Oryctolagus cuniculus: one gene and its partner. The protein of the gene in region 1 interacts with the protein of each later gene in a pairwise test. Links are inferred from orthologs where the notes say so. Each region holds a gene or a part of one and is shown in the gene's direction. Other genes may lie near its edges.

Region 1 (3,814 bases):
CAACCTGCTGTGTCACAGCGCCGGCCCTATCACCTCTGTATCTACTGCACTCAGTCTCTGGTGACTTCATCTGGTTTCCTGGATTTTTAAATCACATCAGTATTTTGACACTTCCCAGTTTATGCCTTAAACCCTGAGCCCTCTGAATTCTGGAATTCATTCTACTGGAATGTCCTACTGCTTTTTTAAAATCACCACTAGACATCTGTTGGATGTCTGATAGCCACTACAGTGTCAGCATGTCCCATATCTAATTCCTGATTTCCCCTCAACCATCTCCTCCAGTGGTCTTCCTTGATTGATGGCAGCGCCATTTTCCCAGGTGCACCTGTGAAATGCCTCAGATCATTCCCCCACATCCAGTCTATCCACAGAACCTATTGGCGGTATGAAAAATGTATTCAGAATTGGTCCATTTCTATGACTTCCATTGCCACCACCTGGCTCAGGCCACAGTCATCTTGCTTCTGGACTATTACAGTAACTGTAGTTGCCTCAGCAGACCTAGCTTCTCAAGTGTAAGAGGTCACATTCCTTTGTGTACAGCCTTTTAGTGGCCTTCTTGTTCACCTGGATTCAAAGGCAAGCTCTATTTAGATGGCCAAGGCCATCTCCTCTGACCTCTTGTCATTAGACATCCTGTGGCTAGACCTTTGTCTGCTGTTCCCTTTGAGTTGGCCATTCCTTTTGCCTGTGTTCCTCAGCTCCGCCTGCCACCCCAGCATCCATGGGGCTGACGTCATACTCACTTCAGGTCTCTGCTTAGTTGTCTGCCTCTCAGGCGCCCCTGACTCGTCTCTGTGTCCCTCCTGTCTCAATGGCCTTGGTTTCTTTGCCATTTCCCTGTTATATGTTCTTTTTCTGTCTCCCATAAGAACAAGCGGAGTAGGTCTGAGTCTTTTCTGTTTTGAATGTTTCAGTGCTGTTATCTTTGGTACATAGAATGGTACCCAGCATCTGGTTGAGGCTTGATAAATATGTGTTGAAAAAGTGAAAGAATGTATCATGATTTCTAAAAGTGTATTTACCTAGTTCTGAAGAGTTTTAAGTGGCTTGGGATGAGATTAATTTTTTTCTTGAAAAGACAAGTATATCAAGGTAGACAGCTCTGGAGAGTGTTAGGGTAGCACTAGGATGTAGAGTTAATTTTAAACTGTGAACAGTCCATATATTTGAATAATCCATCAAGAGAGAAAAACTGAGCCAGCGCCGTGGCTCACTTGGTTAATCTTCTGCCTGCGGCGCCGGCATCCCATATGGGCGCTGGGTTCTAGTCCTGGTTGCTCCTCTTCCAGTCCAGCTCTCTGCTGTGGCCTGGGAGGGCAAAAGTGGAGGATGGCCCAAGTGTTTGGGCCCCTGCACCTGCATGGGAGACCAGGAAGAAGCACCTGGCTCCTGGCTTCAGATTGGCGCAGCACTGGTCGTGGCAGCCATTTGGGGAGTGAACCAACGGAAGGATGACCTTTCTCTCTGTCTCTCTCTCACTGTCTGTAACTATCAAAAAAAAAGAAAAAAACTAATTCTAAGTGCATAAAACCAAAGTAAGTCAAATAGAGAGATATGCCAAATGAGAAAATTATAGGTATTATTAAGTATAATATAAATGTATTTTTTAAAGTCAATGTCACATTTCTCATTAAATATTAATTGGACTTACATATTCAGAGGATATTGAATTTTTCAAAAGTACATTTGTTGAGCCGGCACCACAGCTCACTAGGCTAATTCTCCGCCTTGCAGCCCCGGCAAACTGGGTTCTAGTCCCAGTCGGGGCGCCGGATTCTGTCCCGGTTGCCCCTCTTCCAGGCCAGCTCTCTGCCGTGGCCAGGGAGTGCAGTGGAAGATGGCCCAAGTGCTTGGGCCCTGCACCCCATGGGAGACCAGGAGAAGCACCTGGCTCCTGCCATCGGATCAGCGCGGTGCGCCGGCCGCGGCGGCCATTGGAGGGCGAACCAATGGGAAAGGAAGACCTTTCTCTCTGTCTCTCTCTCTCACTGTCCACTCTGCCTGTCAAAAAAAAAAAAAAAAAAAGTACATTTCTGCTTCTCAGTTGATGTCATAAGCTCTGTTCTTAGTAAAAAGCAAAAGCTTATATATAAATTGAAAGTACATAAAGGGGCTGGTGCTGTGGCATATCTGGTAAAGCCACTGCCTACAGTCCCGGCATCCCATATGGGCACCGGTTCAAGACCTGGCTGCTCCACTTCTGATCCGGCTCTGCTGTGGCCTGGGAAAGCAGTAGAAGATGGCCCAAGTTTTTGGGCCCCTGCACCCACATGGGAGACCCGGAGGAAGCGCCTGGCTTTGGATCGGTCCAACTCTGGCCATTGGGGCCATTTGGGGAGTGAACCAGTGGATGGAAGACCTTTCTCTCTCTCTGCCTCTCCTTCTCTGTGAAACGCTGCCTTTCAAATAAATAAATAAATCTTTACAAAAAAGTATGTATAGAAGAAAAATGCATAACAGTTCACTTTTTGCTTCCTAATACTCAAATGTTTCTGAATTTGTGATCACTGTTTCAGGTTTGAAAATCAACTTCAGCGGTGGTTGTCTGACGACTCGAGAGCGTTTAGAGAGCCTTCACTTCCTCTCTACCTCCCTCAGACTCTAGTGTCTCTCCCCCAGACTATCGAGCCTCTGGTGAAAACAACTGTAGCCACCAGCCCACAGGTGAGCCCTGAACACATTCATTAAAGACAGAAAATGGCTGGGAAAAAATGTAATGTCTTAATTCATCATCTGATGTTATGATGACCAGTAAAGTATTAACTTGAATTATGCCATTTCTTAATACTATTGTAAGGCTTTTTTTTTTTTTTTTAAAGATTTATTTATTTATTAGAGAGGGAAAGTTACAGAGAGAGAGAGGGAGAGACACAGAGAAAGGTCTTCCATCTGCTGGTTCACTCCCTAAATGGAGCTGGGCCGATCTGAAGCAGGAGCTTCTCGGTCTCCCACATGCGTGCAGAGGCCCAAGCACTTCTGCTGCTTCCCCCGGCTATCTGTAGGGAGCTGGATCAGAAGAAGAGCAACCTGGACTCAAACCAGCACCCATATTGGATGTGGTGCTGCAGGCGAAGGCTTAGTCTACTAAGCCACAGCACCAGCCCCCAGAAGATTTATTTCTTTGAAAGGCAAGGTTGGGGGCCGGGGGGAGATGTTCCATCTGCTGATTACTCTCCAGATGGCTACAATGTTCAGCACTGGGCCATGCTGAAGTCATGAGCCTAGAACTCTATCCTGCTCTTCCTTGTGGATGGCAGGTGCCCAAGTAGTTGAGCCATCCTCTGCTGTTTTCCAAGCCAATTAGGAACCTGGATTGGAAGTGGAGCAGCCAGGACTCAAATTGACACCCATATGAATGCCGGTGTTGTAGGTGGCATCTTACCCTGCTGCGCCACAATGCTGGCCCCGAAACATGCTTAACTGAATGAGGGGCCAGTGCTGTGGCCTAGCAGGTAAAGCCTGCAGTGCGGCATCCCATACAGGCACCGGTTCGAGACCTGGCTGCTCCACTTCCGAGCCAGCTCTCTGCTATGGCTTGGGAAAGCAATAGAAAACGGCCCAAGTCCTTGGGCCCCTGCATCCGCGTGGGAGACCCGGAAGAAGATCCTGGCTCCTGGGTTTGGATCAGCGCAGCTGTGGCTGTTGTGGCCAATTGGGGAGTGAACCAGTGAACTCTTTCAAATAAATAAATAAATGTTTTAAAAAAAGAACTGAATGAAGCCTGTAACCATGTGCTGGCATACATTAAGGGCGTGGACAGGTGTAACAAAGGTGGCTTCTGTTTGTGGAGCATTGTGTCATAGCCTTG
Region 2 (3,814 bases), on another chromosome or scaffold:
AAAAAATAATTTTGAGGCTGGCGCTGTGGCTTAGTGGGTAAAGCTGCCACCTGCAGTGCTGACATCCCATATGGGCGCCAGCTGCTCCACTTCTGATCCAGCTCTCTACTATGGCCTGGGAAAGCAGTAGAAGATGGCCCAAGTCTTTGGGTCCCCGCACCCATGTGGGAGACCCAGAAGAAGCTCCTGGCTCCTGGCTTTGAATTGGCACAGCTCCGCCTGTTGCAGCCATTTGGGGAGTGAACCAGTGGATGGATGACCTCTATCTGTCTGTCTCTCTCTCTTCCTCTCCTTCTCTCTGTGTAACTGTGACGTTCAAGTAAAATATATAAATCTTTAAAAAATAATTTTAAGAAAGTACAAAGAAGAAAACAAAACTGATTTGCAGTCTCACAATTCAGATAACCTGAGTAGTCATTAAAACAAAAGTACTACATGCTCATAGCAGGCGAATTTCTAAGTAGATATAATATGAATATTGAAATCCTTCCGTCTGCTACCTCTTTCCTAAGAGGTAATTAGTACAGGTGTGGAGTGTTTCAGAAAAAATTTAAGCATGTGCCAGAAAATATATCTCCTTGTTAAAAATTATCTTTTTGGGGGCTGGTGCCATGGCTCACTAGGTTCATCCTCCGCCTGCAGCACCGGCATCCCATATGGGTGCCGGGTTCTAGTCCGGGTTGCTCCTCTTCCAGTCCAGCCCTCTGCTGTGGCCCGGGAAGGCAGTGGAGGATGGCCCAAGTGCATGGGCACCTGCACTTCATGGGAGACCAAGAAGAAGCACCTGGCTCCTGGCTTCGGATTGGCGTAGCTCCAGCTGTGGCGGCCATTTGAGGGGTGAACCAAAGGAAGGAAGACCTTTCTCTCTCTTTCACTGTTTTTGTCTTTTTTCAAAGTTTATTTATTTGAAGGGCAAGGTGATAGAGCAAGAGAAATTTCCATCCATTCACTCCTCAAATATTCACAATTGTCAGTGCTGTGTCAGGCTGAAGCCAGGAGCCAGGAACTCCATCTTCATCTTTCATGTGGCTGGTAGGACCGTAAGTACTCAGGCCATCATCTGCTGCCTTCTAGAGTGCACATTAGCAGAAGGCTGGGTTGGAAGAGGAGGCAGGATTGACTTCCAGGCACTCTGATATGGAATGTGGGTATCCCAGGTGGTGGTTTAACTTGCAATGCTATTTGACCCAAATTTAGTTTTAAAATGCTTCACTTTTTCATAGCTTCTTACCTATGTGTTCCTTCAAGACTTGGCCTTCTATTCCTGCTTCCATAATTAATCTGGTTTTGTGTTTTCTTCCTGCTAATATTGTCTCCACATCACTTTTTCTTGTATTTCCCAGTATGATCAATATAAGACCCCAATGGAAAACATTGGGCTACAGGACTCACTGCTGTCCCGATTTGACTTGCTCTTCATCATGCTGGATCAGATGGATCCTGAGCAGGATCGGGAGATCTCAGATCATGTCCTTCGGATGCACCGTTACAGAGCCCCTGGAGAGCAGGATGGCGATGGTGAGGCCATGAGAGGAGTTAGAGTGACTGATGAAAGGAATCACAAATAGGCATTATTATCTCTGCGTCAGCCCAGGTGGTGGTGGGTGTTTCAGTGTCTGGGGTGATGTTAAAGATGCCCTCACCTACCCAGCCACCTCCCTGTTTGCTCACTGGAAGTTATCCTGAGTTGTGCCTTTGGTCCTTTTCTAGGTCTGGGAGTTCCTCTGAGCATGTTGTGTGCCCCAGGCAATGGCATTCTCCTTATTTGTGGGTTCCATGTAGCTGAGTCCTTGGCTTTGTGACTCTTAGTCTAGGCTATAGAAGGAGCAGTTTCCCCTGAGTTAAACTCTTACTCTCTTTTCTCCCAACTGCGGCGTACCAGCTATGCCCTTGGGTAGTGCTGTGGATATCCTGGCCACAGATGATCCAGACTTCAACCAGGATGACCAGCAGGACACTCAGATTTATGAGAAGCATGACAACCTCCTCCATGGGACCAAGAAGAAAAAGTGAGTATCCTTCATGCCTCTCCCACGAAGGAGTGTGAGATTTGCCTTATGTTGTGTTAGAACACATGTGCAGCTGAGCTTAGTAAGGGCATTAAGAGGCTAGGCCAAGGTCATGCTTGCAGTCACAGTCATGGGGGCTGATTTTCTTCTTGTCTGGGTCCACAGATACAGTCTTTATCTTGGCCAGTTGTCTTGTAAATGCTTGGGTGGTTCAGCCCAGGTTCAGATCTTTTCCTAAAATACATTTGACAACATGCTCAATTAATGGTAGGAATATGTCTTCCTTGTACATGGAAAGTTGCACATGTCTTGGAGCCATTTGTGGTGAATTTATGGTAAAGGGTCAGTACATAGCAAACATTAGACATTTTGCAAATAGACTTGTAGTCTTATTTTTCAGTGGTCAGAGAATGAAATGTGGGATCCCGTGCTTCCGTTTTTGTCTATGGTACAATAAGAATCAAAGCAAGATATTCAAAACTGTTGGCTTAAGAATATCAAATTTGGAGTCAAAACTGAATTTGAGTCTACTTTAGCATCTGAGTTACAGTTTATCCTATAAAATAGAGGAAAAAATACTTAACTTCCTATTAACTCACAGGTAAACCTAAAAATTGTTGAATAGACTTGAGTGAAAGGACCTACTATATGTTTCTAATAAATGGGTGTTATAATAATGGGTTCTAGGCTCCATCTCTGCTCTACCATTTGACCTTGCCTTCTCTGAGGAGACAGAAGGCAGTCTGCCAGACAGGTAGTAAGGTGTGGAAGGGAAGTGGAATTCACTGTGTGGGGTTCCAGGGAGAAGATGGTGAGTGCAGCATTCATGAGGAAGTACATCCATGTGGCCAAGATCATTAAGCCTGTCCTGACGCAGGAGTCGGCTGCCTACATTGCAGAGGAGTACTCGCGTCTGCGCAGCCAGGACAGCATGAGCTCAGACACTGCCAGGGTGAGTGCCCCAGTGGGGATGGAACCGGCGAGTCCCTTGGTCTTCTGTAGCTAGGGCAGGAGTCCCTGCTGCCTGGGATCTTTGAAAGCATTTTAGTTTTAATTCCTTCCTTGTCCAAAAGGTATCCTGTTGAACAATTCTAGTCATTTCCTTTTCCAAGGTGAAATAGAATAAGGACCCCATTTAGGAGTGGCTGGTTTAAGTCCTGGCTACTCTATGCTTCTGATCTAGCTTCTGGCTAATGCACCTGGGAGGCAGTGAATGATGACCCAAGTACCTGGGTTCCTGCCATCCAGCCTGTGAGACCTCTGTGGAGTTTCTGGCTCCTGGCTTCAGCCTGACTCAACCCTGGCTTTTGGAAGCATTTGGGGTGGGAAACAGCAGATGGATGATCCCTTGCTCTGTGTGTCTCTGTCTCTTCCTCTCTCTGTCATTGTGCTTTTCAATTGAATGACTGTTTTTTGAAAAGTAATCACGAAAAACACATATACATATTTATAAATGACTATCTCATGGTGGCATGTACAAAGGAACAAGTGTGAAAGACAGAATACAGAAAAAGAAAGAACTATATTTTCCTTTAGACTTCCCTGAGGGAGTGTGCATGTGAAGGAAGGATTTGCAGAGTGTAAAGCTCAAGCTGGACTTTGACAAATAGGAGTTGAGCAAGCATGCTTGTTGTCCAAAGTGATCTCTAGTAACCTAACACCGCTGCCCTTAAATTTAAATCTTTTGAGGTTAGTGGTGTTCATGCAGATTATCACAGCAGGAAGACTCTCAAGTTCAAAACCCTGCTTATGTGACACTGACATGAACTCTGGGAACTTAGATATGACCCCAGATCTTGTACTCT

Evidence for each region.
Region 2: the proteins of MCM3AP (region 1) and MCM3 interact in a two-hybrid assay, tested with the Homo sapiens proteins (2 studies listed by BioGRID). The link is inferred for Oryctolagus cuniculus from reciprocal best matches to the Homo sapiens genes MCM3AP and MCM3.

The regions. Positions count from the first base shown.
Region 1 is NC_091435.1:642,940-646,753, forward strand, and holds part of MCM3AP (germinal-center associated nuclear protein), read left to right. Parts: intron 1-2,522; coding exon 2,523-2,670; intron 2,671-3,814.
Region 2 is NC_091436.1:117,747,291-117,751,104, forward strand, and holds part of MCM3 (DNA replication licensing factor MCM3), read left to right. Parts: intron 1-1,343; coding exon 1,344-1,518; intron 1,519-1,882; coding exon 1,883-2,009; intron 2,010-2,810; coding exon 2,811-2,961; intron 2,962-3,814. UniProt on the Homo sapiens protein: Acts as a component of the MCM2-7 complex (MCM complex) which is the replicative helicase essential for 'once per cell cycle' DNA replication initiation and elongation in eukaryotic cells.